Linked DNA regions of Arabidopsis thaliana. The protein of the gene in region 3 interacts with the protein of the main gene of each other region in a pairwise test. Each region holds a gene or a part of one and is shown on either strand. Other genes may lie near its edges.

Region 1 (10,306 bases), on a different chromosome or scaffold from region 3:
CCGAACATCCTACCTAATCGTATTCGGTGCTGGATTTGAATCCGGTGAACTGAATCTGACAATTTCGTTCCCGGAGGTGTTTAAAAATGGCCGGGATCTTGAATAAATTGCGGAATCTAGATGCATATCCTAAGATCAATGAAGATTTTTACAGCCGTACATTATCCGGCGGAGTTATCACTCTCCTCTCCTCCGTTGTTATGTTCCTTCTCTTCTTCTCCGAGCTCCGTACGTATTAACAACTTCGCTTCCAATTTTGTGAATCTCCATATCCAGTTTCGTAATTTTGAAATTCTTTGATTCTGTTGTTTAGGTCTTTATCTTCATACAGTCACCGAGACGAAGCTTATAGTAGATACTTCAAGGGGAGAGACGTTACGCATCAACGTAATGTTACTTAATAGTGATTTTGACTTGGTTTGTGCTTATATTTGATTAGAGATGTCTGATAAGTTTCATTGATGATGCAGTTTGATATTACGTTTCCTGCTCTAGCATGTTCGATTCTTAGTGTTGATGCTATGGATATTAGTGGAGAGCTTCATCTTGACGTGGTATGTTTGTAAAATTGGTTACTGTTATAGCTTAGTGAATCTTAGTTTTTGTGTTTGAGACGTTGATTAAGTTTGTTAAATGTGTGAGTTACAGAAACATGATATCATAAAGAGAAGATTAGATTCTAATGGCAACACTATAGAGGCAAGACAGGACGGAATAGGCGCTACTAAGGTTTGCTCTCTGCCATTCTATTCTTTGGGGTTTTGTAGTCATTAGGCTAGGATTAAACTGCAGGCAAATGGCAAATGGCAAATGGAATAGTAGTGTCAAGAATTAAAAGTCGTTTGTTTTTGGGGTCTTTAAAGTCTTATACTTTTTTTTTTGTGCTTGTGTAGATTGAAAACCCACTGCAGAAACATGGTGGCAGGCTGGGACATAATGAGACTTACTGTGGTTCTTGCTATGGGGCTGAAGCGGTAATTGTGTTATCTCTCTATTTGACTTTGTGGAGCATGGTTTCTCAAGTTCATATTCAGATTACTCTTGATTGTTTAGTGCTAGTCAAGAGGTCATAATGGAATAAACAAAAACAGATGTCATAGTGGATTGTTTCTGTACTATATATAGTTATCATTTTCAGGATAGTTGATAGTGCTTTTTCAATCTGGCTTTCATTTATTTATAAGCTTTCATCTGAAGTATGTTTTTTCCCCGTGCAGGAAGAGCATGACTGCTGCAATTCGTGTGAGGATGTTCGTGAAGCATATAGAAAGAAAGGTTGGGGGGTTACTAATCCAGATTTGATTGACCAGGTAAATTGCTAAGAAAAGGTTCTTCGCCTTTTAAATTCCTGGCATCACTGTTTCAATGCGATAGTAGCAAGTTTTGTTTCATTTCTTTCTTCTTGTTTCTTTTTCTTATTCTTTGTTAGAGTCTCCAAGGCTTGTGTGCGTTTTGTTTAGTTAGTATGCACTTGGGAGGCTCTTAACTGAACTATGCTTCAAAGAGTTTCCATCTTCCAACTGCGAGCTGAAATACTTTTCACTTATCTGTTTGTGATTCAGTGTAAACGAGAAGGTTTTCTACAAAGAGTAAAGGATGAAGAAGGTGAAGGGTGTAATATATATGGGTTCTTGGAGGTCAATAAGGTGGCTGGGAACTTCCACTTTGCTCCTGGGAAAAGCTTTCATCAGTCGGGCGTGCATGTTCACGATCTTCTTGCTTTTCAGAAAGACAGTTTTAACGTAAGAAATGACTTGTCCTATTGACTGCAACTCATTCGTTATGCTTCTAATCTTATATCAATTCAATATGTTGCGTCTCCCTGCAGATAAGTCACAAGATCAATAGACTTACTTATGGAGACTACTTTCCTGGCGTCGTTAACCCTCTTGACAAGTAAATAACCATTCTGGTCTATTCCATTCACACACTATTTATTTTTTCATACTCTCTAACGTACTTGAAATTGCAGAGTCGAGTGGAGTCAAGACACACCTAATGCTATGTACCAATACTTTATCAAGGTTTGTTCCAAGACAAACACTGTATCATATACTTCAAATTCGTCTATAAAATACCCGCGATGACTCTATTCTGCTTTGTCTGCTTTCAATAGGTTGTACCAACAGTATACACAGATATCAGAGGACACACAATTCAATCGAATCAGGTGAACCAAGGCTTTTAACTGTTCGACCTCATTATCTATTCATTCTCTTCCGCGTACTATCTTAACTTAAATGTAAAATTGGCAGTTCTCAGTGACCGAACATGTAAAGAGCTCAGAAGCAGGTCAACTGCAATCTTTACCTGGAGTTTTCTTCTTCTATGATCTCTCTCCAATCAAGGTGAGTGTATTTGTGTGTTTTAACTGCAGTTTTAGAGCGTATTTATAGTCATAATCCTAACTAAAATGTGTCGTTTCCGTAGGTAACATTTACGGAGGAACACATATCATTCTTGCACTTCTTGACGAATGTTTGCGCCATAGTTGGAGGTATCTCTCTAATCTCTATATACCATAACAACACTTGTTGGTTAACGCACATTAAAATCCGAAATGAAACATGTAAAAATGCGCAGGTGTCTTCACAGTGTCCGGGATAATAGACGCGTTTATATACCATGGTCAAAAAGCTATCAAGAAGAAGATGGAAATTGGTAAATTTAGCTAAATCCTTTAAGCCTTTTTGGGGTTTTCGTCTCTCTCTTTTTGTTTTGCGGATAATACGATTCATGCTCCAAATGTAATATGGTGTCATTTATTTAATTCTTTTTGTTAAGCTGACTATATAAAATATACATATTGATACGTTACACTCTTTTAATGCAAATTGAAGGATAAGTCTTGGGTTGTGTCAATCCAGCTGTTGACAGCCTCATGCGTGCGTTACAATTATCGTCTTTTGACTTTTTGTCTTTTGAAGATATTATGGGTTTTGAATCTGAAGTTAAGTCTTGAGTCTATCTTTGATTGTAGTGTATGGATTCAATGAATGGAAGAAAAAGAAGCAAAACAGTCTCCATAATAAACGCTTAGAGTACAGAGAATCATTATTAGTATTGACGAGAAAGTTGTTATTAGTGAATATATTAATTCCGATTGCAATATATGTTAGGTCTCGGTTAATACTCGGATTCGAAGAACTGAACCAGAACCTATCCGAAATATCGGTTTGGGTCTGTTTTGGATCCTCTAGAACATTTGATTGGGTCTTGTCTTCATATATTTTCGGTATTGGTTCAAAAAGGATAATACCTGATAAATTAACGGGAACTCGAATATATTTGAAGCCTAACTAAACTCATGATCTCCTTTAACCTATATTGCCTGGTTTGATTGGGAACATCGGGTTTTTCTTTTCGAGTAGTTTGGATAAATTTGAGTATAAAGTAACCAACTTGAACTGTATCCGATAATTTTCAATTCACCCATATCAACTATCCGAACTGATATGAACCCGAAGGTTACCAAACCAATCCCGAACAAAATTTTAAAATACCCAAATAGTACCTCGATTCCTAGTACGAAACCAAAATCCAAATACTCGAGTCGAACCCAAACCGGTACCCGAATGTGCAAGCCTAATATATGTGCATTCTCTCATTCCTTTGGCTTGGCAATTGGTTTCTATATTTGCATGGACACTTTTATCATCCAAGTCTTCCTTTCTCATTTGACAACGTTTGCTCGTAAAAAAAACTCACTTTGGTTACCATTGTTAAACACAAAAAAAGAAATCTAATCTTTTGTGTTAACTTAAAGACTTGATAATTGTTTTACTTTTTTTTTTACTTATTATCTATCACTCGGTCTATTCTAAAGAGAAAGCATGAGAATGTCGTCAACGTAGGCACTTTGTATGAGGTTATCTTTATACCACGTAAAGTTCAATCAAGGATCCTTTTCTTCCACTCTTGTGTTTCTCTTTTGACTTCTTCAAAATAGGACCAAAATTTATAATATTAAGCTAGAAATTTAGCAATTTAAATTTTAAGTTTTCACTATATTGTTCCCTTTTAGACTAATTTACTTTTTAATCATTTCTAAGCTAAGCACAATGGTCCTGTCGCAGAATGGAACTTCACGATTCTAATGTGTTACAATATATTCATAGTAGTAATACTAACCATATTCATTTCAATTAAGAGAAAAGAAGAAGGGTCTACATGGTACGGCATGAACAAAAAAGCTTGAGCTGTCCATAATTTACACACTTGCATTACATTCATACAAAATGCTAAATTACAAATTTTACGCACAGCTAATAACCCTAAAGTTTAAAAGAAAATACAAACAAGTTAAAATGAATAAAAATGAATTGAATCCTAATTTTTCACGATAAAATTGAAGCCCAATCTATCTCATAAGAAGGACACTTGCCGAGCATGAAATTTTCATTCCATGGCATCTCTGGCTCTTGGCACATCTCCTGCACCATAACATCCGAAGTCGGTGAACCCGACCCATCACTTTCACCCGACCCGGAATGTTGTTGTGGCGCTGACGGCTGCTCAGCTGAAGAAGCCGCGGCTTTAGCTCGTTTCCTCGACGTCCTCTCCGTTTTGCCCGGCTGATTCTTCGGCTCAGCTAATATGGCTTCTAGTTTAGCGTCTACGGCAGCTTGAATAGGACCATATTCGCCGGTATCAGACGGAGACGAGCCGGTTTGGTATCGGAGAGCTGGGAAGTTAAGCCGAGCCGAGTCACCACGAAGCTTAAACGCGGCGCGATCATAAGCCAACGCGGCTTCTTCAGCCGTGTCGAATGTTCCGAGCCAAAGTCGGGTTCGGTTCCTGGGTAAACGGATCTCCGCGACCCATTTTCCCCAATGTCTTTGCCTCACTCCTCTATAGAGCTTAGCCGGTTTTGAAACCGAACCCGAACTCGGACCCGGTTGGGTCATAAAACCCGGTTGGCTCGGCTCAATGAAGTTAAGCATGCAAGTGTTGTTGTCTTGGTGAGTGTAAGTGATAGTGTTTTGGTAATGGAACTGAGATTGGTAGTTTTCGGGTTGTTGAAGATCCGACCCGAATGAAGATGGATAGGTCATGGATCCAGAATAAATATCCGGGTAAGAGGTTGTGGAATGTGAAGGGAATAAAGATGCATGAGGATTATAGTAAGAAGAAGAAGAAAATAGGTCGTTTGGGGCAGACGCAAACGCATCGTTTGAGGACGCAAACGCAGGATTTGAAGCAGACGTGGAAGCACTTTTGTAAAAAGGTTGAAGTGCTTCCATAAGCTCGCCGCCGTGGCCACCACCGAAGAGATCCGCCATCGGAGTTTCCTGAAATACAAAAAAAAATGTACTACAAAAAACAAGATTATATAAAATTATAATTAAAAAATGGTTGAAGAAATAAAACCTGTCTTTTTAGAAAAAATTCAAAGACTGGTTTTTTGGTTTATACAGAAATAAAAGTGATCAACGAGGTTTGAAATAAGCAACCTCCATAGATCAAAACTAAAATAAATTTATCAACAAAAAAAGAAATAAAATAAGAGGATCAAAACTTGAGGGAACTAAAAAATGCCCATGAAGTTGATCAACTCTATAAAAGAATGAAAGAATATTAATTGACAGAAAAAATCATAATATTTTTGATGGATATCGTTTTCTTGAAAACACTTTTCAAATACAATTTTAAACAAAAGTTTGTCGTTTTAGATGAGTTTTGGCAAAATATAAACTCATAAAGCAACACTTCATAAGAAAATCGTGATTTGTGTTTTCTCAAGAAAGACGACTGATGAATAGACAGGACATGGAAGAGTTTTTTTCTTTTGGTTTGAAGATGAAACGAAGCAAAGAAAGCAAGAAGAGAATAAACCCTAATTTCACTCAAATTTTAATCTCTCAATTTTTTTTTTCTTCTCTCACTCACACTCACTCTCTCTCACACACACAAACACTCTCTCTTTTGGAAGATGCTCTCAACCTCACCTTGGTAATACCCACCCAACTCTCACCGTTTATATAGAGGGCTTGTTCAATGAAGATAGATTAAAATATTGTTTGTACATCAATAATCCTAAAATAATGTACTTGACTTTTAAAAAAACGTATTTGACTTTAAAAAAATGTATTTGACTCCCACTATATAAGATACATATTTGATCCAAATATATATAAAAAAAGAAGTATAAAAAATAATTGAATAAAAACTGAATATAAATGTTGTAACTAGTGAAATGTTTCGAAGAATAGTTATGAATCCCTTGTTCAAAAAGTCGGCTGATCGGATAGAGTCTACCGCAATTTTGTCCAAATCGAAAAGATTAATCGTTGATCTGATTTATTCATCATAGATCCGCTTAAACCTGTCTAGAGGATGCCTAGTCCAAAACTTTTTTTTCATTTTTTTTTATTTTTTAAGATAAACATTTAAAAATATCCAACTTTTTAAATATCCAAATTTAAAACATCAAACTTATGTTCTAATTTGTATGAAAAAATCATAAATTTGAACTTAAAATCTTGTTTTCATGTGTTTAATACAATTCTAAAAACAATGTTATATAATTCTCTTAATTGTAATGGAGGAATATGTTTTAAAAATATTAAATAACCCTAAACTTAATTTCCGATTAATTTTCGTATAATCTCTGATTTTTTTGTTAGGTGATAGACCTATCCTCATCGTTCGACTAGCGCCTAACGATTTTTTGAGCAAGGATTATGACAAAGTGTTTTGGGTCAAAACCCACATAAACATTTATACGGTTGAATTTGTTCTTCTTGGTAGCGAGTACGGACGAACTACGGAGTACTGTGGGCAGAGCTGTTCTAGACAGAAGCATATCAAATATGAACTTGCGGACTTGCGTAAGCATAAGTACAACGGTTATTTTGGAAACAAATCAATACTTGAATTGGTTATATTGTTTGATGATAATTATTGTAGAGTTTGAATATTAACATTCGCACGACACTTGGACTCGTACGTGGAGACTGAAGATTCCATGCAGAGCAGAAGTTAAAGGTGCATTTGTTCTTAGCCAAAGAAACCAGGTCACATGTCCTTAGTGCCACAATTCGCATTTTTTGCCATTTTTGCGGTGTTTACGTTTTTTCCTTCTTTTTGCAACAGTCGTTGAAAATTAGTTGAGAAAAAAAGTGTTAACATCCTTCTGAGATCGATTAGTACTTCTACTATACCATTAAGTTACTATGCTTATACAAATAGATTTATCGAAAAACATTTAAGACCAATTGTTATGCAAGTATATTCAATTTTTATTATACTCCTTCCGTTTCACTTTAAGATGTTTTAGAGAAATTATTTTGTTTTATTAAGTGATATTTTCAAATTTCTACGCAAAAATATAAATATATTTGAAATGTTAAGAAAAATTATTGTTATAATAAAAATGTTTGAAATATATACTTCTAAATGTTTTGCATTTGAATTTTCTCCGAACTTAAATGGATGATGTTATGAGTAAAATGAAAGAGTGGCTTCATAAAATTACCACTAACACACTTCATTAACAAAAAAACGTTTTCTAAAATAGTGTTTTCTCTTTTCAATTCAGTAATTTTGTTGAAACTAAATTTGACAATTTTAGCATCTTAATAATGCTCGAAACCTCCAACCGTCAACAAATACCGTTGGAACAATAACAGTGATATAATTAAGTGATAATTTAATTTAATGATGAAATAATACCTTCTTCAATAAGTGATTTAAGTGATAATTAAGTTGCAAGATAGAAGAGCCACGTGAGAACGAAAGCATCACGTGATCTCAGGCGCAATTTGCTGCAAGTGGGAAATTGGACTTTACGTTGGCGTCGCCTCGAAATTAAGACTCACGCGTGTGATTTTTTGTCCCAATTAATCTCTCTTTTCTTTTGCTTACACACCATTTTTAACCTAAAACATCAATAATAGTACAATTCACAAATCTTATATTTACGGACGGTTGCGGTGCTAACTTTTAAAATCAATAATAGACATTTCAAAAGTTTCGGACCATTCTAAACCATTCAAATCGATGAATTTTAAAAGTTCTTTTTTGTAAACATTTGCGATTATAGACAGTTAGCAAAAAAGAAAAAGAACAAAAAAAAGTCATTTAAACAACAAATAAATAAATATTATCAAATCATATATATATTAATGTTCATTCTCAAAATTTTAAATACTTTTTCCTACTAATATCAGTGTATCAATCCCAACTGAAGAAAGATAATAAATAAAAGTAGTATTGTAATAATATTGTCAATTTGGAAGATTTATGAATTAGTTTGTCATATTTCTATGAAATTTACAAATAGAGCTGTGCTTATAAAAAAGAGGCGGATGCCTCAAACCCCAAATTTTCTATTGAATATTAAGGCTCCAATTTCAGATATATAGGTAGTTCAATTGGTCAAAACTTTGTATATTTGAGTGTCTCGTTTTAAGTTTGAGTTCATAATGATTAATTCCCAATATTTGGTCATAATATGTTTTTTCCTTACGTTTAAGAAATAACATCGTTTCTTTTATAAATGTTCAGTTTTTTCTATATTATTATTTTTTATATCATTTATATAATGTATATTATTTATATTTCTGTATTCTTTATCAAATTTTGAAAATTAGACTATTTGTATTTAAATAAACAATTCTGTATTTTATTTATGATCCAGTAAACCATTAGTTTTCTTTTACTAAACAAACTAAAATTGTAAATCTCTAATTCTTTAGAACACTATAATAGATTTTCATATTTTTCTATTTATATTTTTTTCCAATGTAAAAATGTTTCTAAATAATTTTTTTAAAAATTAGGTACGGGCTCACATTTTCAAAGAAGCTTGACACGACTCTAATTATGATATATATATAATTTTATTATTAATTATATTTTATCATCATAATATAAGTTTTTATTATCAAGTATAACAACGGATGTACAACTGTTAAATGCATAAATATTATATTTATTAATCATTTTTGATTTAATAGTTATTGTATCCGGTAGTTAACTAGTCATAATTTTTTATTAATTTAAACCGCTAAATTAACTAGTCATTCAAAATGCTTATTAACATTTGAAACTGCAGCCACACACTTCTGCAAACTCCCACAATCGTAGCCAAATTGTGTTTATACCAATCAGGCCATTAATATTTTTATTTCTTACCCCTATAAGCTATCCCTAACTATTATTATGACACTACTACACCTTTCATAGAAGATATCCTGGATTGTGGGTTGTAATCTCTAACTATTATGGTAAAAGATATACCGCTGTAACCCATAAAAATACAATAAACAAAAAGTGGTCAATAGCAACATTTTAAAATTCCAACATGCAAACGGAATGGTATAATGATCAAAATGTGATAGGTATGAAAAAGAAAAAAAAAGTGAAGGGATGAAAATTCCTTCATAAAAAGGAAATATAAATATGATTGTTTATTAATATTTTTGTGTCAGTTTTCTTCTTTAAATACATGTTCAATATTAAAAAGTTAAGAATATTCTCATGATATTATAAGTATGCGTATATTAACTCAAAAACAATAAAAACAAAAAATCATTATTGTCTTCGAAAAAGAGTCGTTGACCTGATTCTTAGAGTAGAAAGTCATTTGTTAAATTGCTACATAGAATTAAGGAAACTTTTCTAATAAGAATTAAAAAAATTAATGAGTTGCTTTTCTTAAACTCTTGCTCGAATTTATCTTCATTCTTTGCCTTTATAATATCGAATCTCTTATCAAGTGCCATTAACTCAACCCGTAAAGTATCTCAGACAAAGTCTAGAGATCATTGGTGATTCAGGTGGTATTTGGGAGAAAACTGTATAAAATTGCCTGGTACAGTATTCGACTTGGGAAGATGTACGGTCTCATGGCAGAACCTCTTAGTTGTTCAAAAGAAAAAATGGGAAATTTAAGATCTTCTTGAAACACTACTCATATTTCAACTCTGCTCACATCTTTAAAGTGCATTTGTAGTTTGGTATTATTTTCTTGAATATAAGTAGCAGGAAGAAATTAAAAATGTTGATAAGATTAGTTGGAAAAGTTGGGGTGAAAGGAGAATTAGTGTTAATTGGACATGATTCTTGGACCGTGTTGGACGGGAGACCCCAACAGGCCAACACCAATATCAAGTTTGCTATTATTGTAGTATGATATAACCAGGGACTTATTACAGTATTAAGTGTTTCTCAAGTGATGGAGATACGATCATAAGTGGCGCCTATTCATTACTAAACGCAATTAGTGACTAATATTATTATATTAGTATAAGTTATCCTCTTTACTTTTTTTCCCCGGGTTTGGTGGTAAATTGGTGAAGAA
Region 2 (13,611 bases), on a different chromosome or scaffold from region 3:
TTTCCTTTTCATTAAACCAGCTATGATGTTAGTATTCTCCACTGCTTTATAAATGTTGTACTCTTCACTGGACTTATCAGTTCGTATCGCAAAAGCATCTCTATAATGATCTCTCTCTACTGTTAAGATATGTTGTTTTCAACATTTATTTCAGGTATACTTCTCTGTGCAAAGACCAAGCTGGCAAAAACGAAACTTGCAGCGTATTTTGCTGAGGGAACATCTCTTGTCGGCTCCGGGTGAGTTCAAACATGATCTCTTGTTTACTTTTTGACCCAGCTCATTCTTGAAAAGATCCTTAGTATTACATATTGGATTTTGGATTTAAACTCTTCATTCTTACAGCAACCTGGATCAAGAGTGTGGAACAGGAAGAAAACTATCAAAGATATATCGAGCACTAGCAGATGGTATAGTTGAAGAAGACGAGGCAAGGCCATTTTTATTATTTGTGCTGAGAATTAATATCAAATACTATAAGTACAGTATACCTTAATATGCAACTGAGATAACATCTATGAACAATGCTCCTTTTTTTATTTACATTCTGAAGGTAGTAATCAAACAGCCTATAGGAGTGGTTCGATATCCTGGGGTCGCACAAGGATTATATGTTGCTTCTCCGGAAGGTTAGTTATATTATCTTATACCATTAGCTAGAGCAACAGATTAATTCACACTAAATATAATTTGTTGTCGTTATAACGTTTTTTGTTTGTTTTTGCATGTTTTTTGCTCTTGTCAGGGAAACCTGCTTTCAGTAAAGTATTTGTTCTGGAGAGGGACAGGGAAAAAAATTGCTCGCTTGTTAAGGTTTTCTTCTGTTCCATCTTATTTCCAAATGTCATATGTCACACAAGGTTTACCCAGAAAGTAAATGAGATAGTAAAACCAAAACGAAAGTTAGCCACAATCATCTTGTTTTTATGCAAAACAGGTAGAGATACAATCTGGAAGACCACATCAAATCCGGATTCATCTTGCATACATGGGACATCCCTTGGTAGGTAAAAACTTCTGTTTCCTTCGGGTCTGTCACACGTTTTGAGCTGGTATTATGCGTGGTTTGTGCATTTATAGTCCTTCATTATTAGTATAGAATAAAAAAAGTTGGATACGTAGCTTTGTAAGACAAGATAGACAAATGTTTTTTTCCCAGATAACTAAGCAATAATGGAACAACCAAACTGCTCGGCGGTGTTAGGAAAACTTTAGTAAAACATTGAATACAAATTGATGAAACCATGTTTTGATGGATGAAAAGATCTTACTCCCACTTGATGATTCAACTAGTTATAATTGTATGAGCCATATACAATATAGTTGCAATCTAGGACATGAGTTGCTTATGGCATAGTCTAGGAAGCTTTTTGCTACACATAAGTTTTCTTTTGGCAGTGGTCTATGATAGAGATGACGATGTTTACTGGATCTGAGTGCTTACGTGCTGATCAAAGTGCAGGGGACCCTCTTTATGTAGCGGGCGGCCAACCAAAGTGCTTTGATCCCGATCTTGTAGATGATGCCGCAGCCTTTGCCGAAGATGGGTACAAAATTAGATCATCATTCTTCATACTTATAGTTTCTGTATACCTTGAGATGAACAGTCCTTGGAAATTGAACAATATTTGAGCTAACCAATGTTGTACGATGCAATCTAGTACGTAGTTTCATGTGGAGTAAATTGGTCTGTTAACTAGATGCTATCACCTGTTATGGCATGTGTCGTCATTATGACTGAATATATTGCAGAGGTTACAGAAGGCCAAATCAGGCTGTTCCTGGGGATTGTGGATATCATCTGCATGCTCATCAAGTAGAGCTACCAAACCTGCTGAACACTCATAAGGTAACTCACGTAGATCATACCTAAGCCTCAGTGGTCAGGCTCTTTACGAGATCTCTCAGTCCTTATCTAAACAATCCAATTGTTCATGTCCTTACCATTCTGCAGGTAGTAAAAATTGTAGCACCGCTGCCACCAATTCTCCAAACAAGATGTGAGACGTAAGAAAAAGGTTTATCCTCCTGCAAGTGAAGTTGCATAAGTCTTTCACTGTACAACATTAGACATGCTTGTTCATCAAGTGTTATCCTTTTTGAAAAACATACAGAGAGCTAAGCTTAGCTCTTAGATCTCTCTGTTATTATCAGTAACATTACAAATACAAACATCAGCTATGAATTTTCTGCAGGCACCTAACTTTAGCTGAACCAAAAAAAAAAAAAATGCCTATATTAATTGACATTCTAAATTAAAAAAAAAAGATGTTAAAAGAGATATAATACAGATAGGTTGACAAGCAAAGAATATGCCAATCCTCCAAAACAAACTAATCATGACCCTAAGAAGCTTTTTCATTCACGTGGCTGCCTCTGCTACACCATTTACCCCTCCTATGTTACCTTCATCCTTAGCGCTTGAGGACTCAGCTCTATCTTCGTTATGCTTACCAAAGCTCAAAATTCCACCATTAACATCCACCAGAATCTCTTTGCTGTTACCAACTTGCTGCTTTAGATGCGTGGAAAATGCTTCAGGGCAACTTGCAAGCAACTTGGCCGACTCTGGCAAAGATGTGAGCCCGGTTTGAATTCTGTTGCCATCCCAAAAACCGTAGCTCGTAATGGGAACGTTCTGAAGGTGTTGCTGATTAATGTAATGATGTCTTGTATCATGGTCCCTGCTCAAGGTTGATGATGACCTGACAATTCCACATGGATTGTGTTTTTGTTTTATTCCATTCTCATCAGTAGTAAGTACTGTACCAAACAGTTTCACATCTCCATTCTTGTGGAGTCTCTCAGTATCAGACAAACTAAACGAATGGCTCCTGCTATGACCAGATCTGCCCTCTTTATGGGATACTGCCAGAGGCTTAGGAGCTGAACTAGTACACTTGGTGAGTGAGAAGCCTTCACCTGTACGTTGGGTTTTTACGATCAAATCAGATTTTGATCTACTTATCCTGCTCAGATCTTGGGTGACTGATCTCTGGGGATTTTGACAAGATTCTGTATTGGTCGCTTTTAGTAGACCAATCTGCTCAGGGTTTACATGGCCTAAAACCTGAAGCCTCCCATCCAATTCCAGATTGTTCTTGGGCCAACCCAAGTCATGTGTTTCGTCAACTTGTCCAACAAGAGAATTTCCTGACTCGGACTCTGCATGGCAATTTGGATTTCCTCGTGGTGCACTGACGCCTATAGGGTTTTCCGTACACACCTCAATCGGAACATGGTGAAGACACTCAGGGTACCTGAAACCTGAAGGTGCACTTTCAGGTTCAAGGCCAGAATTTCTGGTTCTGTTTGCAGCTTGCATCACTCCATCTTGATTCTTTGAACTAAATTTAGGCATTGTAGCACCTTGATCTCCTGAGCCCTTTCGTGAGATTTCTGTAGGGGTTTCCACAATAACATTGGAAAGAACACTTAGGCCACAATACAATGGCTCGGAAGATATAGTGACAGATGTTAAGACACCTTCATCGATTTCCATTGACATGAGATCATTGCTCTTGCTTTTTCCGGCAGCCTGAGACTGGCTCTCAACAGTATTAATATCTACCAAATCTCTACAAGATTCTGAAACTAGACTCGGGAAACCGCCATTGACATATGCATTGTTCACGAGATTATTATCATCTTTCAGACACAAATATTTCTGCCCATTCTCTTCTTCTGATCTACTAAGGTCGGCTTTCACATTTGCAGAGCCTGATTGATTAACACCATCCTGATTCATATTAAAAGGTGAGGTAGGAGAATTCATACCCATCTTGGCACAAACTCCATTATTCACTATGCCAGAGTTACTCTCCATAGGACAAGGATCTTCCAAGTCGCTCCCACCACCCTCATTGCCATTATCAACACTTACGGATGTGCTTACATTTCCAGATCCAAACTTTATAGATTCCAACCCAAGACATTTCCGAACTTTGCTGAAGAAAACCTTACACTGATCTGGAGATCTTGTCCCGACGTACCTTGATATTGAAGCAAAATTCTTGCCAAAAAGCGAAAAACCCTGTATAAAGGCAGATCTCTCATCATCTGTCCAGTGAATAGGACCTGTTTCCCCACAGCTCTCTTCCGAACATGAGTCATCTTCTTCGTTGCTGTTCTCATTGTGTAGAGTATTGCTGTTCTCATTATGTAGAGTATGAGATATCCGAGGTTTCTTTACGACATGATTAAACTTCAGATGATCCATACACCTCTCTCTAGAGCTCACAGAAGTCCTTAAGCAAGAATTTATCTGCTCTGGTGACAAAGGACCAACAGCTAAAACATCTGCACCAGCAGTTCTCTTACGTGGGAAATCAAAACTGTAGGAGCACCCTTCAGAGTTATTTCCATCGTGCTGCAATGAATTAGCACTGCTGCAACCTCTAAGGGTGATCTTTTTGGAAGAGATCGGCCTGGTTGATGCAACCTTTCCAGCGTTTGCTGCTATAATGGAGACATCCCCTAAAATATCAAGAGAGGCAGCCCCCATCTCACGTTTCCACTTTTTTCGTGGAGCCAACATGTAGGTGTGCTTCCCTTCCTTACCATAAGCACGCTGCTTCTTTATTTTCCCAAAACAATCAGACTTGTGGTTTTTGTAGTAGTAATCAATACAGTCCGCAGTTGTCTTTTGGGTAAGAGATGAAGCAATCTTCTTGAAATCCTTCCCATGCATTGCTAGCAAATTCAGAAAGATTTCTTTCTCCTCTGAGGTCCAAGGATTAATCATTGTTCTTTCCTTCTCAACGTCACATGGATCTTCAATCAGTCCATTGCTAGAAATAAACCTCGACATCACCCTCTCTTTCTCATCCAAAATCATAGCAGGCATTTTCAAAATGTCTCTAAAAGGCTTTAGATGGGTACCCGGAAGTAGCTTTTCCATATAACTTACGAGCTCTGTTGTGGGGACTACACTATCCCTTCTTGGAGCTGCACAGGTAGTGTAAAACAGTTATTAACTTTAAATTCGATGAAAAAAGGCTTCAATTCATCTGTGATCATTATCCCAAATTTTTACACCGCAATCATCTCCTGCGTATTGATATACTTTCTAGTTAGCATCTAAGACAAATATTTACCTACGACAACATAAAAGATAGACAAGAAATAAGCATCTGCTTAAACTATACCTCCTCGTTAAACAAGCTAGATGTTAAAATGAATATTACAGTGGATATAATACTAGAATAAAACCAACATCTAACATAAAATTAAAATAGCGTTATCAACATCCAACAAACACGTTAGCATGGAATGACTCTGAACTTAGCTTGCAAATAATGAATTATGACCACTATGTACAGCTCTGTAACAATAGTTCTCAAGAGTTGTATATGTTTCTCTCAACACCTCACGCCCTTGAAAAATCACATAATTCAAGTCTCTACAACTAACACATCATAAAAGCCAAACTTCATCCCAGACAGCGACAAACCACGACAAGCTTAATATATCAGAGTAAATAGAAGAGAAAAGAGGTTTGAGAACTTTACCTGAAGAAGAGAACCTCAGGCGTACAGATTGGGGAAGCTTCAGATACCCTCCATTTTTTGCATTCGGATATAGTTCTGTTTTTTTGCTAGACTTTGATTGGTACTTTGCTAAAGCTAGCTGATCCAAATCTTTCTTCCATGAGAGCTGAAACGCTTTAAACTGAAGGAGTAAAATTTTCTCCCTAGCTCTCAATAGGCCTACCCTATCTGCAATTTTTTCTTGGACATGAGAATCAAACTGCGTTTGACATATGCCAGGGAATCTTGAGTTGTCAGACGAATTAAAATCTCTTGGAAGCAATTGATTGAATACTCCAGATGATTCACAAGCATATTTCTTATTGGCAGATAATAACTTAGCCCAGAACAAGTCTTCTTTGGAGGCCATGCTGTCATCAGCAGAAGAAACCTCAATAGTTTCCTGATTGGCAAAAGCAGGTGTGTTAATCTCTTTCGAAGAAACAGCTGCCTTCATAGATGGTATGGGCAGTATATCTTCCTCTCTTTCAACAGTGGCAAAAGATTGGGATAGAGGTTTAACTTCCCCAGGACTATCTTCAAAAACATCAGCAGGAACCTTGGCTAAACCAGCCTGATGCACAGGAGCTCTCACCAGTGTTTTAGCTACAGAAGAAGCTGTTGCCTTAGGATCCAAACTACAAGAAGCCTGCTCCTTGGGCACATTTGCATCTCCATCACAACAGTATGAACTGGGTCCAACAACACGAGAGTGTCTTCTACCTTCAAGCTTTAGTGTCCTATGTTTGTTTTCAAGGAGATCAATTTCTGATTCAGTCATCTCCACAGCTTTCAAAATTTCACCTTTCCAGGCAAGTAATGTGTTCATTGATGTCAATTGGACAGAACTGGAATCCCCTGTACCAGAATCATCAGTACCAAGTAACTCATTGAGTAAACAGCCAAAACGCTCCATTGAGATGTTATCGAGCTCCTCGATATTGATTGGGAATCGTTCAAGGTGAATACTAGACACGGGACTAGGCGAACGGCACATGTTACTGACATCACTAGCAGCTATAGCAGCCTTCGGAGATGATTTATCAGCAAACCCTGAATGTACACAAAAGAATAAAATTACGAGTGAGTTACACTGTCCCCAGCAGAAGATAACAAAAACAAATGGAAGACATGATAAAAAGAGAAAAACAAAATCAGTGTTTACAAGAACAGATACATGATGGAAGAATTCAAGTAATATGAAAATAATGCAGATAACTCCAAATAGATCAGGAATGAGAAGAGCACGCAGAGAGAAGTATTAACAAATTGTATTGTACCTGGTGATGAACTGCAAGCTACAGAGGATGGTGTTGTAGGGGAACCATAATCTGGAACAATGGCTGCTGTGGGACTTTTATCAGCAATATTTTTGTTTAACGAATGTAGTTCCTCTAAACCGTTTTCCATCAATGTTGTTCCATCTTCATTTGGGTTAACATCAACTTTCTTTTTCTCATATTTCGCCAGTCCCTCACCCCACCCGAGACGTTGTTTCTTTCTAGAACTCATCTCCTCAGAAAGATGAGTAGTTGTGGCACAGGCAGTAGCGTCTCCTGAAGAAGATTGAGTCACAGTAACAATTTTAGGAAGAACCTCAATCTTCCGATCGCTGGAATCAACAGCCCCCAAGCTTTTCAAGCTACTTGAATGACTAAAACCTGAACTCTGAGATGCAAAACTCCCAGAACTATTCCACAGTGGAAGTTTCCCAGTTGCTCCCAGAGAACTCTCCTTTGCACATTTCCTATCACCGTCTATATCATTGATACCATGTAAACTATTGTTATCTTGCGGGTCTTTCAGGCGAAGTTGTTCCCAAGTCCCCTCCAGCTCTGCATTGGGGATTGGAGCATCTAATGAATTATCACTAACTAACCTTCGACCATACATCAAATCATTGCATTGCTTTGCTGGTGAACAAACCTTATTGCCATAATTGTTCTCAGAAGAAGGCCGTTCAAACAAGCTAATACATTCAGAATGAGGATCTGAAGGAAGTGATAACCTTTGATCTGAAAATTTATGCTCATTTTTAATTTTAAGAGACCGTACTGGGGTACTGATCTCATTGTCCAGATAATGAGCCGAGTTGGCTGGATCCAAAGAGTTCACCACGGTAGAATGAGTATCTGAAGCATGTAGCGGCCTTTCATCAACTGACCTCCGACCATTTCTAATACCAAATGGCCTCTCAAAACTTCTAGAAGATCCGTTGCTCATCTCCCATGTATTGCATTTCCATTCCTTTTGGCTTACAGAAACTCTATCATCCCTGCAATTCCTGGTATATCTCCAGTCTCCACGCGATGCTGATGGCCTATAATTATCAAACATTCGGGCACTGGACCGAGAAGATGTGTATCCATGACTAGTCTCCTCCACAAACTGGTGCCGTCCACCCTGCTTACCATGACCTTCAGAAAATTTTGAAGACAAAAGGAAGATGAGAATCACAAACTAAAGCAAGACCTGTATTCAACCAAATATATAACTTGTGAAACTAAAAACGACATCTATCCAAAAAAATTAGACTTTTACTGCTGTCAAAACATGTAGTATAAGATTCTCCAAAAGGAAGTCAAACTTAGAATCATTATAACACGAAGTCAAGTTAGGAGAAAAAAGTGTCATTACGCCCACACAGGGTTTCAATACTAATAGGAAAAATTATACAAGTAAGAAACCTGCAAAAGTAGGAGCTATCTTCATCTAAATCTACAACATGTAAAACTAAAACTAACAACACTCCACGATGCTAGGACTTTTTATCCGTTTTAAGATTCATGAACACAAAACACAAACACAATTGAGGTAATAAAGTCCTCTTGCAATGAAACTAAATCTACCTGAGTATTAAAAATTGCTCCTTTGAAGAGTAACCTCATCAATTCACTTCCTATCAATCTTAAGAGCTGTGTTAATGCTCCAAAAATACCCTAAGCTATCATGACACAGTGAGAACTCAATCTAAGAAACAAGGATTTGCCTCTAAATCAATTCAAAAAAAATTATAGAACCAAAAAGGAAAAGTGGATATCTAACAAATCCACAGAAAAATAGACTCTACCAAAAACAGAGCAGGAGAATTCAAAGCCCTAAATTAGAGAGAGAAAAGGAGGTCTTACAAGAAGGTCTGCGGAAGTCTCCAGATCCCAAACGAGAAGAAAACTCTCGAGGAACATGGTGAGAAGAAGGCGAATCCCTCCATCGAAAAGGCGGGGATTCAAAAGATTGTTCAGGCCTATCGTGTTTCCTTTGCCTCAAGAGCTCTTTCCGATCCCACGAAGCGTGATCCTGCGGCATCAAGTTATCCAGAAGAATCGCATAAGAGTATCCTTCAAACCCAACTCCAGATTCCCTCCGTACCTACCTCCGTCAAAAAGGTCTCGGAACAAAAAAAGAAGAAGAAGAGCTGGTGGGGAAACCAAATCAATGAAGACTCGTCGTTTCTGAAACCAAAATCAAACTAGGGTTTCGTCAATCTGAAGATTAAAATCCGAAGTAAACCCAAAAAGAGCGGAAACAGAATCAAAAGAGGAAGAAACCTGAGAGCGGAGCTGTATGTAAAAATCACTACTGAGAGACAAGGAAGGGAGATTTCACCGCTGAAGAAAAAAGCTCAATAGAGAAAAAGAGATTTCCTTTAATTTCGGTGTTGAAAGACAAAGTAGGTTTTTTTATGGCGATTCCTCTCTGTTTATTAGCTCACAAAATCCAAAGAAGAAGAAGAAGAAGAAGAAGAAGAAGAGATAGAGAGAGAGAGAACAATGAAGAAGAAGAAGGAAAGAGAAAATAATCCCTGTAACCTAAAGATTCCAATTAAACTCTATTTCATTTTATTTTTCGCGTCCGCTCTATTTATATTATTTTACTCCTATTCTGAAAAAGACATTTTTTTTTTTTACTTTTTTTTTTCTGTAAATCTCAATCCAAATCCATGACTTTGTCTACTACACAAAAAAGTATAAAATCGAAATTAGTAAATACTTACAACCAATGAGAAGAGAGTAAAATACATTAGTGAAAGATTAAAAAAAAAACTATCTTCATTGACTTGTGTAAGCAAAGAGAGAGACGTCTTCTTCTTCACACCGATCTTCGAAGTTCGTAGATCTTTTGGTTCGTCTACACGATGGCGAATCAAGACAAGTTAGATCATCATCGGTATAGTTCTGTCTTTTTTTTTCCAGATGAATAAGATCGTTTTGCGAATCGAAATTTAGATTTGGGTTTTGGTACATTTTTATAGGTGTATTGATTCAGAGGCACAAGATCCTACTTCAGTGACTATTGAGTTTCTTCGTGCACGTTTATTAGCTGAAAGAGCTGTTTCCAAGAGTGCTAGAGCAAAGCTTGATGGTCTCGCTGATAAAGTATGTTCTTTTATAATTTGTAGGGATGATCCAGTGAAATGTTCTTTAGTCTTATGTCCTGTCTTAATATCTTTAGGTAGCTGAGTTAGAGGAACAGCTCAAGATTGTATCTTTACAGAGGAAGAAGGCTGAACAGGCAACTGCTGATGTTCTTGCGATCTTAGAGGAAAATGGGTATAATGATGTGTCTGATGATTATGATTCAAACTCTGATCATGAATGCTACTCTCAGAGTAACTCAGGTTAGAGTTTTTATGTGATAGGAGGAAAGTTTCTGATTCATGGGTTTAATGAGATTTGAGCAACTCTCAGTGTCGGAGATTTGTTTGTTTTTTAGTGTTAGGCAAAAGTTTGTCCTGGAAAGGTCGCAGGAGGGAACCAGGTTCTTCTGACAAGATCAAGGAAAACCGGAATAGGAGACATCACAGAGGTTTCGAGTGTGCTTATTTTTCCTCACCGAGACATCGTCAAGGAAGATCTTGTCGGCAAATTAGACGTGGTGAAGCAAGGTCTGTTTTGTTATCTTTAGCTGCTCAGTGATTTATGAGTGGTTTACTATTACAAATTGTGCAAGCATTGCCTAGAAACACAGTGCTTAGAAATTTGAGATTGAAGGTTATATGCTTAGAAATCGTCTCTCTAATTATATACATCATAAATCGCTTTATTAGTAAAGCAATTGTAAAGCTTGCTTATGTATGTTGTGTAATAGAATAACCAACATTTTTCAACTTTCCAGAAATGTATCTGAGGATTACAAGAGAGATGGAAATCCGGTTGAATTTCAAGAAAATGGAGTTCGCACTGAAATGCTTCCTCAAAAGAATGATCAAGTATCTAGAACCGTGGTGGATGTTGCTGTTGTGAAGGGAGACGATAGTTTGAACAAGTTGTCAAATTCAAATGGTTTAGAGAAGGGAAACAGTACGGACATCAACTTGGAGAGAGCGTTAGAAAACCGTGCTCAAGTTATCGGATCTTTTGAAGAAATGGAAGAGACTCAAAGGGAATGGGAGAAAAATTTCAGAGAGAATAAATCATCTGCCCTGGTATGCCCTATATCTCAGGCTTTGACCTTTAGAAATTGTTTTCATCAATTGTGATTATGGTATATTTCGTGTTTATATGAATCAACCAACAAAGTTTCTTTTATGTGGCGTTGATAATTGTGCATATGCTGCAGTTTTCTATATTTGGTTTGCATGCGTATACATTGATTCTTTTATTCTGTCTTCTCTCCATTGTGCTAAAAAGTTATGAAAAATGTATGCTTTTTTTCTTCTTTGTATTAACTGTTATATAACCATATTGTTTCTGAAGACATTATCTATGAAGATATCTTAGTTCACAAAGGTTGAACTTAGTCTCCGCTTAATTCACTGGAATTCCTGAACAATACTTCTTGTCCAATCTTTCAGGATTTATGTGACGTTGGAAACCATTCAGATGTGACGGATGAAAGTAACGGAGAAAAAGCTCAATCTCCACTTCAAGGTTCTACAGTAGTCCCTTCACTCCGTGATACAAGGTCTATAGCTAATGAAGTTGACTTTAGAGAATCGTTTGAAACTTTGTCGCATGGTTCACCTGATAATTCAGTAACGTCACCTGATAAGTGCTGCAATAGTTGTGGTTCCAGATCTGTGGAACAAGATGCTTATTCTTCTCGAGACAAAGGAAAACATATTTCTGAGAGCCCTACAAGTGAGTATTCCCAACCACAGAGCAGTAAAGGTATCAATGAGCATTCTTCATCAACTATTCGGTCGCCTCCTGTAACGCAACCAAACTCGAGAGGTGGTTTCTTTGGCAGTACTACCACTACCATTCATGAAGTAGATGATCCATTAGTTTCAGTGAAAGATGTGAAGCCTGATACTTGTGAAACTGTACTGACCGCACTAAAGCAAGCGAAGCTGTCTCTGCAAGAGAAAGTCAATAGCCTACATATCAGAAACCCGGATTGTCATTCTGAAAGCTCATATCCTTCAACACCAGGTTCATATATGAACACATATGCACTACCGATGGAACCAGCATTTAGTACTAAACCATCTCTCCCTGCTTCCAGTGTCGGGTCCATGGTAGAGTTTCCAGTTATCTGTGCTGCTGGACTTTTCCGTGTCCCCACCGATTTTACATCTGATGCTTCAAATAGGAACACTTTTCTAGCTTCGAGTTCTCAGAACGCCATGGTTACCCATATGCCTGAGCGAGACGTCCCCCTAGTACCTGGAGATCAGCTTTTCAGCAGAACAGCCACAAACAATCTCCTAAATACTGGCTTCCAAAGCCAACTAGAAACCAGTCCTCCTTTGTCAGTGGATGACCGACTTTCGACCACCCCATACATCGGTGGACCAAAACTATGGTCCAGCTTCAGGGCAGATGGTCCACCGATGGTTGATGTTCCAGGATTCAGACTTAATAAAGGCATACCAAGAGTTTCAGGCAGTGCAATCTCTGGTGGAACATCTGGTTTTGAAGGTAACCAAGTATCGTCAAGTACATATAATACCCCTGTGACACCTACTCGAAGCTTGTATCCTGATTCAGTTCTAAGCAGTAGAGAATTGTATTCGACTCCTTATTACACACGCCCGTTTGGGCTGTCTCCTACTAGTGGTTCAGATGATGGCTTATTTAGGCGAGAATGATTCTGTTGATCCTTGTGAAGCCGTGATATGATTGTTGGATCTTTGTAGAGTGTGGTGGTTGTTATATACACTGTAGACTAATATCAGCTTTGTGTAACGTCAAAATACTGTATAGAAGAGGCAAAAGTTATGTATGTGATTCATAACTTGGTCATTATAGGACCGTTTGTTGAAATCCCATTTGTTGATAATGTTTGTGTGTTCATTTGTTCGGTTTATGATATTTAACATGACAAATCTCTTGAAACTTAACTAGCAATGATCTAACTACAAGTCACGAACTAAAGAGACACTGCACAGCAACAACAAGAGATTTGTCCAGTAAGAAAAAAAAAACTTCTTGCCAGCATGAGAAGAGATTTCGAGTCCCCTTAGATAAGGAGATGAGACTCAAGATTCAAGTACATACAATGGAAAATAAGAAATCTTCATTTTGAAGTTTATGGTGTTTTTGCTATACAGAACCAAAGTGGGTAACATTTTCATCGTGTTCAAGTAATATGACTAGTCTTCATGCCCATCAGATGATTGATCATCCTCATCATCATCTTTCTGATCATCATCACCCGTCGCCTCCTTTTTGTCACTTCTCTCGTTCCTTTCATTCCATCTTGCCCAGGCCCACTTCAGGACAAGAAACCCTCCAAGTGCATATACCTGAAATAGTTATAGAGAATACTCCACTAAATTAACCATGAAAGAATCCAACTTTTTCCAGGATTTGAAACAATCATCAGAACAAAACTCTTTCGTATACGTCAGGAGTCCATTGATGAGAAAATAAAGCACACCACAACCAAAACATCTCGATTCTCGAGTCATGCTATTCATATATCAAGTCAGCCTTTGATAGCTCTGACTACTACAAAACTTGCAATTGAAAGGAGCAAAAATAGTATGCTTCCTACTCCATGAACGACAGAACATCAAGCTAATTGTTAGAGGTCATCTAAAGCATTACCAGGAATCGAAGGCATAACAAAAACTGAAACCATTTTCAACATTCATTGTAGCACACTGCAACTGACTGCAACCAATGAAATACATTGA
Region 3 (9,504 bases):
TATCAATATGGGCATCATAACTTTTACTCTGAAAAGTGTCTCATGAATTCTCGAGAGGAATACAACTACTCTTATTATTCTCATCATCTTGTTGTTCTCCAAACTTTCTTTTTCGCAGTGTTTTGTGAAATGAAGAATTTGCAGGAGCTTGATCTGAGAGGAATTAATTTTGTAGGTCAGCTTCCTCTTTGTTTTGGTAACTTGAACAAGCTACGGTTTCTTGACCTCTCATCAAACCAATTAACTGGAAATATACCACCCAGTTTCAGTAGCCTCGAGTCCCTCGAATATCTATCATTGTCAGATAATAGCTTTGAAGGCTTTTTCTCGCTCAATCCACTTACCAACCTCACAAAGCTCAAGGTGTTCATATTTTCATCAAAAGATGATATGGTACAAGTAAAGATTGAAAGTACTTGGCAGCCATTATTTCAACTAAGTGTTCTTGTACTACGACTTTGCAGCTTGGAGAAAATCCCTAACTTTCTCATGTACCAGAAGAACTTGCATGTCGTTGATCTATCTGGCAATAGAATATCTGGAATCATTCCTACATGGCTTTTGGAGAATAATCCAGAACTTGAAGTCCTACAGTTGAAGAATAACTCATTCACCATCTTTCAGATGCCTACATCAGTGCATAATTTGCAGGTTTTGGATTTTTCAGAAAATAATATTGGTGGACTGTTCCCTGATAATTTTGGTCGTGTGCTTCCGAATCTGGTACATATGAATGGCTCCAATAATGGGTTCCAAGGGAATTTCCCATCCTCCATGGGTGAAATGTATAATATTTCATTCCTGGACCTGTCTTATAACAATTTATCAGGGGAGTTACCTCAAAGTTTTGTCTCAAGTTGTTTTTCATTAAGCATCCTGCAGCTGTCTCACAACAAATTTAGCGGCCATTTTCTTCCAAGACAAACAAACTTCACTTCATTGATCGTGCTGAGAATCAATAACAACTTATTTACTGGGAAGATCGGAGTTGGTTTGCTTACCTTGGTTGATTTGTGTATACTTGACATGTCCAACAATTTCTTAGAAGGTGAGCTACCACCTTTGCTTCTGGTATTTGAATATCTTAATTTTCTGGACCTCTCTGGAAATCTATTATCTGGAGCCTTACCATCACATGTTAGTTTGGATAATGTTTTGTTCCTACACAACAACAACTTCACAGGGCCAATTCCGGACACATTTTTGGGAAGCATCCAGATACTTGATCTACGGAACAATAAACTCTCTGGGAATATACCGCAGTTTGTAGATACCCAAGACATCAGTTTTCTTTTGTTGAGGGGGAACAGTTTAACGGGATATATTCCAAGTACGCTTTGTGAATTCAGCAAGATGAGACTTTTAGATCTTTCTGATAACAAGCTCAATGGCTTCATACCTTCATGTTTCAATAATTTATCATTTGGACTGGCGAGAAAAGAGGAGATTACTAACTACTATGTTGCAGTTGCATTGGAGAGCTTTTACTTGGGATTCTACAAATCCACATTTGTGGTTGAGAATTTCAGGTTAGACTACAGTAACTATTTTGAAATTGATGTAAAATTCGCAACCAAGCAAAGGTATGATTCTTATATAGGAGCATTTCAGTTCAGCGAAGGAACACTTAATTCTATGTATGGCTTGGATCTGTCAAGCAATGAATTAAGTGGTGTTATCCCAGCAGAGCTTGGAGATCTCTTCAAACTAAGAGCCCTGAATTTGTCTCACAATTTCTTGTCGAGTCATATACCGGATAGCTTCTCTAAATTGCAGGACATTGAGAGCCTTGATCTTTCTTATAACATGTTACAAGGAAGCATTCCTCACCAGTTAACCAACCTCACTTCTCTTGCTATCTTCAACGTCTCTTACAACAATTTATCAGGCATCATTCCCCAAGGAAAGCAATTTAACACCTTCGACGAGAACAGCTACTTAGGAAATCCTCTTCTCTGTGGACCGCCAACCGATACAAGCTGTGAAACTAAGAAGAACTCAGAGGAAAATGCCAATGGAGGAGAAGAAGATGACAAAGAAGTTGCTATTGACATGTTGGTCTTCTATTGGAGTACTGCTGGAACTTATGTGACTGCATTGATAGGTATTCTTGTACTTATGTGTGTTGATTGTTCTTGGCGTCGAGCATGGCTCCGCCTTGTCGATGCTTTCATTGCCTCTGCGAAAAGTAAGTTGGCTTAAAACCATTTCAGCACAGTTCTTACGTCTTCCTTATCAAGCAAAACAGGCTTCAATCCTCTGTCTTTTTTTGTAAGTATATATGTGCTTTGGATTTTACTTGCTGTGACAGAGGAATGTAAGTTGATGCAGGTTCTCTGTTTCAAAAGATTCGTCTATGTATGGTTAATGATCAAATCATTGATAATAAGGTTAAAAAATCTGGTTTAGTTAGTTAAGTGATATTGGTATAAATGGCAATTGGACTTGATTTAAAGGAAAAAAGATAAACATTTTTCATGCGGGCAGAGACCAAGATCTGTGTTACCTAACTAAAGGACATGTATTATTAATGACTATGGTTTTAATGTTGACATAATTATAATGCTAGTCTCATTGTGTACAAAAATGATTATTCCCTACTTCTAGAATTGTTTGATGCCCACGGAACTAATGAATTTTTTTTAAAAAAACTCCACTGTTAAATTACCAAATACGATTGAAGAGTCAATCAATCCTTAAAATGGCAGCAGAATTAAAGTAGAACATTACAATCTGATGTTGAAAAAGAAAACTAAAAAATAACAATTTGACGAAATTTAAACCATTTTTCAATTTAAAGTTAAGTTATATAATTATTTTTTTGACTTGACAAAGATTGTGCTTAACAGATAGGCAAGTCACATTCCTGTCGCAATAAAGACAAAATCTCAGCACAGAACAATTATTTAAAAATTAAATAAAAAACTAGTAATAACCACCGATTTTTTTTTTTTTTTTCATTCATCTTCTTACAATTTCCAAAACGTTTTTGATTACCACCAAATCTCACATCATCGAGATACCCAAAATTCATAGGTGTAAAAAAAGAGTAGAAAATGATTGAAAGAACACAAAAACCAAACAATTACCAAAAAGTACACATTTAGTTTGTTGTTGTTGTTAGTCATCATCATTGCTCTCCAAACCCTAATCATGGTAAGATCCAGAAGAAAAAAAAGCACTAAGCGTAAACAGAGCCATAAGAAAGAGCCATGAGTAACACAGCGGCTTGTTCTTCTTCACCAAGCTTCTGTCGTTGCTTCTCCACCGTTGATCTCTTCCTTATCCCCAAATCCATCAAACTCTGTTTTAACGATTCACCAAATTTACGGTTTCCGCCGCCAGAACTCGATTTCTTTAATTTCTTATTATCTTCTGTTCCTCCTCTTCTCTTCTTTCTGTTTCTGATCCCACACGCGTTACACAACGACTACACAGAACCAAAACCAAAACATATCAGAATCAGAGATCAGAGACAAGATCAAATGATCAACCTCGATTTTTTCCCCAAAATCAGAGTGAAATTAGGGTTTATGTATGAACCTTTGGACCAACAGGACCACCACGCCAAAGAGGAGTTTTACTGGTTCCACAATCAGCACAAGTCTTCTTCTTGTCGTTAACACTAGTGTTGTTCTGTTCGATCATATCTTCAGCTCTTGTTTTCATGGTTTCTGAATCAACCAATAAGACCTGAAACAAACACAGAAGAGCGATCAGCTTATTATTAGATCATCGTCGTCAGAATCAAAAAATAGAGATCAGAAGAGAAGCAAATCATTTTTACCTTTTCACTGTGATCTAGCATTCTGTTAGATCGTCAATTGAAATGGACTTTTGAGGATGTGGTTGAAGTTTGGCGCCGCGATCGGGAAAACAGAGATCAAGGAAAGGATCAGAATCAATCTGGTTACTAGGGTTTAGAGAAGATCACGTTTCTTCGCAAATTCACATGCAGAGGACTTGGAAAGAGTGAAGAAGAGTGTCAGCGAGGAAGAGAGGGTTTTCAAAGGGTCGAACCGACAGAGACAATGATCCAAAGAAAAACCAAACGCGATTATAAATTGGTTCAGAATTAAACCCTAGGATTTGGTCTTTAAATGACGAAACTGCCCTTTTATTCGTCCCCATTATCAGAAGAAGCCACCCGCCAAAATATGGAATTTTTGAGGAAAATGTGTATTTTCGCTTATTGTCTGATTTGGTGAAAAGAAAAAGGGCGCCACTTTGACCATTGTTTGATCAGATACGGTAAAGAGTAAGGTTTCTTCGAATGGTCAATGATGATGATTCACATGTATTTGATCGTAGCCGTTCGTTAACGATCTCTACAAATTTAACGGTTCTTTTCTTCCGTGTGGATTTAAGGATTTTTTTTTTTTTTTTTTTTTTGGAGTGTACAGCACTAGACAATCATATAAATCTCACAGATAAAAAATGTCATAATTCAATTCTTTTTGTGTAGATCAGATTGCAAAGTAAGCAAAATCACAAATTTTTTTTATGTTGGGTGTATGTAAATTTTAAATATAGATGCATTTTGGTTATATCCTAAGTAGAAGATCCACTGGGAAACCAAAATTAGTGAAATTTTAGATACTAAAGATAGATGGATTATAAAGAGGAAGAAACAAACAAAGAGAGTGGTAGGGGTTAAGCCATGTAGACTACTACTAGATAGAATTCAGACCATATATTATTGGTTTATTCTGCATAGTTCCAAAATAAGAGAGTGTGCTTGTGTGTAATGTTGACTCAACAATTTCCTGGTCAAAGTGACAATACTCGAAATAAGTTTTAATATTAAAGGCATATCTTTTAATGTAGAAAAACATAAGATTTTGCTCTCTTTTTTTGGACAGCGTAAATTTATTTTGTAATTGATTGAGTAGAAAGAAAGGGACTTCTTGGTCTCCCATGGAACCACATTGAGTTTGACCCTTCATAGCAAGCTTTTGGTTACATGTCGGAGGCTTTTTTTTACTTTATAGTCTCTATTCTCTAATATCAGATTGTGTAGTTTTGAGTTTACTTTTCAACTGAAGTTGAATCCCTCCAACAGGAACTGCAACTTAGTTCTCTCACAGCTGCAAAACCAGATCAAAGCCAGATCTCAACATCCTCTACACGCCAGTTTGTCTCCAGAATCTTCAAAGCCTTCTTGTAGATCTCCACGCTTTCGTGTTCTTGCAGGTTCTCAATCTTTTTGACTCCTTTCGCATCTTCAATCAGTTGGCGATAACAGTTGACGTCTCCTGTGTTATTTGCCGCCTCTCCGGCTTTTAAAATGTTTTCCAACCCATCAAGACACACTGAGATGATCATTACATCTGGACATACCAAGAGATCACATAGAAGTTTTGTGCAACCCTGCTCCACCAAGTATCTGAACCACACCAGTATATGGAGATTGTGATTTAGTGATCAATAAAAAGCTATATCAAATAGAGAGAAGACAGGGATGTACTTGATTTGATTAGGAGAACTACCCACGGTGGCATTTCAAAATGCCCATGCAGCTTCTTTCTTTACGTCAAATTAAGCATGTTGAGCCAGATTGACCAACGGTGGAATCAAATTTGCATCAATAACCGACTGTTATCATCGGTACAAGAAAGACAACTAGAAAACAATTAGTGATAGCAACATAAGGGTAAATTTGTATATGTTCTGCAACAAAAGCTTCTCACCTGAAGTTGTTCTGTAAAGCCTGCAGTGATGCTTGAAATTGTTGAGAAAATTTCTATCTTTATGTATTTCTCATAGTCTCGAGTAAACAGGTTGGCAAGAATGGGTAAAACACCACAATTGATCACAATCTAAAGAATATGTTCAAAGAGGTTTATTCAGAGCACTTCGTTGTTTGGTTACAAAATCTAATCGCAACATTGTAAACAAGGAACATATAACAAAGCAAGCACTCCATCCTCTCTACTAAAAGCGGTATAGTGATATAAACATTATGATAAACATAGATTTTGACAGTTTTTTTAACTTGATAAAGGATAACTCCACAAGGTGGCAACGTAGGTGGAATATGATTACATACTTGGCTCTGGTGATTATATTGTCTAGCTATAGTCCCAATGTTATGAAGTACAGGAGCAAGCACATCTGGGGAAGGGCGTCTGCAAAAGAAGAAAATTGTCAGTCTTCAGTATCTAAACCAAACTTGCACAAAGGGTTAAATATGTGTATATATTATGAGAAGTACTAACTGGAGAACTTCAACTAATTTTGGGTCAAAACCAGCTTCAATCACACTTTGGATAACAGCTTCTGAACCATCACACAGATAGGAAATTGCCAAGCAAACATATCTCAAGACTTCTTCAAGTATGTTTGCAGAATCTTCAAAGCCTTCTTGTCTACTTCATAGCTTCCGTGTTGTTGCAGGTTCTGAATCTTTTCTATCCCTTTGATCAGAGAACTTTACACGAGTGGCCAGTCTCCATTTCTCAAAACATCCAAGAAAGAAAGATTGTAAGTTACAGAAAGAAGCACGTTTCTCAAAACATCCAAGAAAGAAGCATGTTGCTCTTTTTGAACCTAAACGGTAGCCATTTCTTTCAATGAAACACAACTGCATGATTAGGACAAATTCCTCAGATAACTAGCAAGAAGCTGGACCGGAGACAAGATCTTAATCTTTAATACATGTGATTAAGACTCACGATTGGTCCTAATCTCTTGATTAACATTTACGTTCAGGTACATAGCCTATTGCTAGCTGCCGATTCCTTAAGTGTATGCAGCTGAGTTTTTTGAATACAAGACATATATTACAACTTACTACGTCTAATGATCAAGACATTTCTAAAACCTAGTCACAAATATGCCAAATCTCGAGATCAAACTTCATCTATATGAGAGTGAATAAACAAACATATACCCAAATGTCCTAGAGAGATTATATTATCAACTTGGAAAGATGAATAGTAATCAAAAGTTTCATCCATGTCAAGAATACCGATGCCCCTACTGTGTAATCCATCACTTGTGCTAGCTTTAGGTTGAATACATGTGAAGGTGGCAAAAAAATCCTACTCTAAGTCTCAAAACTTCACAAAACAAAACTGTAGTTGAATCCTCCAACAGGAACTGGAACTGAAAGACAAGATCATCATCACCTTGGAGGCTTTTGTGTCTTCTCATCATCCTCTACATCCCAGTATGTCTCCAGAATATTCAAAGCCTTATCGTAGATCTCATTCCTTTCGTGTTTTAGCAGGTTCTTAATCTTTTTCACCCCTTCCGCGGCATCAATCAGTTGGCGATAATAGTTCACGTCTCCTCTGTTCTTTTCCGACTCTCCGGCCTTCAAAATGTTTTTCAACCCATACAGACACAGTTTGATGATCATTATATCTGGACATACCAGGAGATCACATAGAAGTTTTGTGCAACCCTGCTGCACCAAGTATCTGAATCACACCAATATATGGAGATTGTTACTTGATGATCAATCAAAACGCATGAAAAAAGTGATAAAGAGAGAAGACAGGGATGTACTTGATTTGATTAGGCGAACCACCTACGGTGGCCCTTAAAATTACCCGTACAGCTTCTCTCTTTATGTCCAATTCAGCATTTAGAGCCAGATTGACCGACGATGGAATCAAATTTGCATCAATAAGCAACTGTTATCATCATTGCAAGAAATACAAATAGAAAACAATAAGTGATACCACAATTGATTACAGCCTAAAGAATATGTTCAAAAAGGTTTATTCAGAGTCTACGTACTTTGTTGTTTGGTTACAAAATCTAATCATAACATTGTAAACAAGGGACATATAACAAAGTAAGCACTGCATCCCTTCTACTAAACATTCTATAGACATTGTGATAAACATAAGCTTTCGACAGATTTATCGTTTTTGATAAACGATTACTCCACAAGATGGACAACATAAGTGGAACATGAATTACATACTTGGCTCTGGTGATTATTTCCAGTAACTAGAGTCCCAATGGTACGAAGTTCAGGAGCAGATAAAACTGGGGAAGGGCGTCTGAAAAAAGAAAAAACTGTCAGCCTTCAGTATCCAAACATGTCAGATGTCACAAAGGATTTTGAGAAATACTAACCGGAGAACGCTAACTAGTTTTGGGACAAAACCAGCTTGAATCACACGTTGGATTCCATCTACTGAACCATAACACAGATGCGAAATTGCCAAGCAAACATATCTCAAGATTTCTTTATCACTTGAATTAAGATGTATTTCAAGTGCAGGCTTCACCTGTTAATCAATGCTTCATATGTTGAAAGTATTGGACGCATACAAATAGAGGAAACAGAGAGAGAGAGAATTAAGAAGACCTCGTTGAAGGTAGACGGAGGCATGCCACGACACAAGAAAGCCAAAGTCCGAATGGCAGCTCTGAGCATCGGCAAGTTAGTATCCTTGTACAGCCTAATCAGCAGTGGCGTCAATGCCCCACATTGAAGAACATAGTCACGGTGTATTGGATGATAAGCAACATTACCCAGTGCCAATATAGCCTGCAAGAATAATGTCAAAACTCATATCATTCATACTTATCTACTACATAGGTACAATCTTTACCTGTCCACGGACATTATCTGTCGAAGAAGCAAGAAGCGTGACTAAGATTGGAACAACCTTGTGATCAACTACCACATCCGGTTTAAAAGCAGCAATGATTGCTAGACCGCGAGCTGCTTCAAACTAGAAAAGACCATTGAATATATCACAATCAAAGATTACACTGATCATCGTAAAAAACAATTTGATGGGTTCTTTTTTTTCTTCTAACTTGAAGCTTAGGGAATTCTTCATTGTGAAGAAGGAAAACGAAACGAGCAACAATTCCAGATCGTATTAGATCTTTTGTACCAAGAGGCAAGTTTCTTTGCATTCCTGGACAGATATAAGAGCACAAAACTTAAAGAAATGTTAAAAGATGAAATCTTTCAGATCGAAACAGAGGAAGTTTTATTTACCATCTGATAGAATCCTGTTGATCTTGATAGCTGAATCAAGCTGTATCAAAGGATCTTTTGAATAAAGGCCATTGGCTAAACTCATAGCTGCTGAAACTTTGTGTGAGATCGTTTAGAGGAAGCTTGGGTCTTAAGCAACGTGGGTTTTCTCTCTTCTTTGACCTATCCAGAGAAATTTGCAAAACTTGAAGAGAAATCTGAGCTGAAATGTGAAAGAGGCAAAGAAATTTTGCAATTCAGTGCAAGAATGCAAACAAGAATGGAGCGAAAATAACAGATGAATTTACTACGACAATATCGTTATCAGAACCGGCTTGTTTGGTTTGATTTAATTTCGACTGAAACCGGTTCAGTTCAACCAAATTGATTCAGTTTGGTTTTGGGTTTAAATCCGGTTTAATAAAACCCAAATTTCAACATGTTAGGCGTGTTGGTTAGGATCATCGGATCATTGCCAATCTCGAATTACCCCCCAAATCGGAGTGAAATTAGGGTTTATATGTCTAATCACCTTAGCACCACCATGACGAAGA

Evidence for each region.
Region 1: the proteins of GATA16 (region 3) and AT1G36060 interact in a two-hybrid assay, tested with the Arabidopsis thaliana proteins (one large-scale study listed by BioGRID).
Region 2: the proteins of GATA16 (region 3) and AT3G52250 interact in a two-hybrid assay, tested with the Arabidopsis thaliana proteins (one large-scale study listed by BioGRID).

The regions. Positions count from the first base shown.
Region 1 is NC_003070.9:13,450,381-13,460,686, forward strand, and holds AT1G36060 (Integrase-type DNA-binding superfamily protein), read right to left. Parts: upstream 5,957-10,306; 5' UTR 5,283-5,956; coding exon 4,338-5,282; 3' UTR 4,116-4,337; downstream 1-4,115. Other genes in the region: AT1G36050 (Endoplasmic reticulum vesicle transporter protein), read left to right, coding at 87-228, 314-387, 471-554, 649-729, 894-974, 1,218-1,310, 1,563-1,742, 1,829-1,896 and 6 more.
Region 2 is NC_003074.8:19,371,852-19,385,462, reverse strand, and holds AT3G52250 (Duplicated homeodomain-like superfamily protein), read right to left. Parts: upstream 9,326-13,611; 5' UTR 9,077-9,325; exon of another isoform or gene 8,981-9,076; 5' UTR 8,835-8,980; coding exon 8,657-8,834; intron 7,946-8,656; coding exon 6,809-7,945; intron 6,582-6,808; coding exon 5,511-6,581; intron 4,948-5,510; coding exon 2,363-4,947; 3' UTR 2,094-2,362; downstream 1-2,093. Other genes in the region: AT3G52260 (Pseudouridine synthase family protein), read left to right, coding at 155-239, 346-430, 554-629, 746-813, 938-1,007, 1,412-1,547, 1,753-1,849, 1,955-2,011; AT3G52240 (transcriptional regulator ATRX), read left to right, coding at 9,664-9,695, 9,781-9,904, 9,981-10,146, 10,242-10,413, 10,644-10,953, 11,323-12,561; AT3G52230 (uncharacterized protein), read right to left, coding at 13,066-13,218.
Region 3 is NC_003076.8:19,981,668-19,991,171, forward strand, and holds GATA16 (GATA transcription factor 16), read right to left. Parts: upstream 4,122-9,504; 5' UTR 3,809-4,121; coding exon 3,788-3,808; intron 3,694-3,787; coding exon 3,544-3,693; intron 3,431-3,543; coding exon 3,182-3,430; 3' UTR 2,959-3,181; downstream 1-2,958. Other genes in the region: RLP56 (receptor like protein 56), read left to right, coding at 119-2,202; AT5G49305 (importin subunit alpha), read right to left, coding at 7,127-7,424, 7,513-7,640, 7,937-8,015, 8,092-8,246, 8,327-8,509, 8,574-8,696, 8,785-8,888, 8,972-9,056. UniProt on the Arabidopsis thaliana protein: Transcriptional regulator that specifically binds 5'-GATA-3' or 5'-GAT-3' motifs within gene promoters.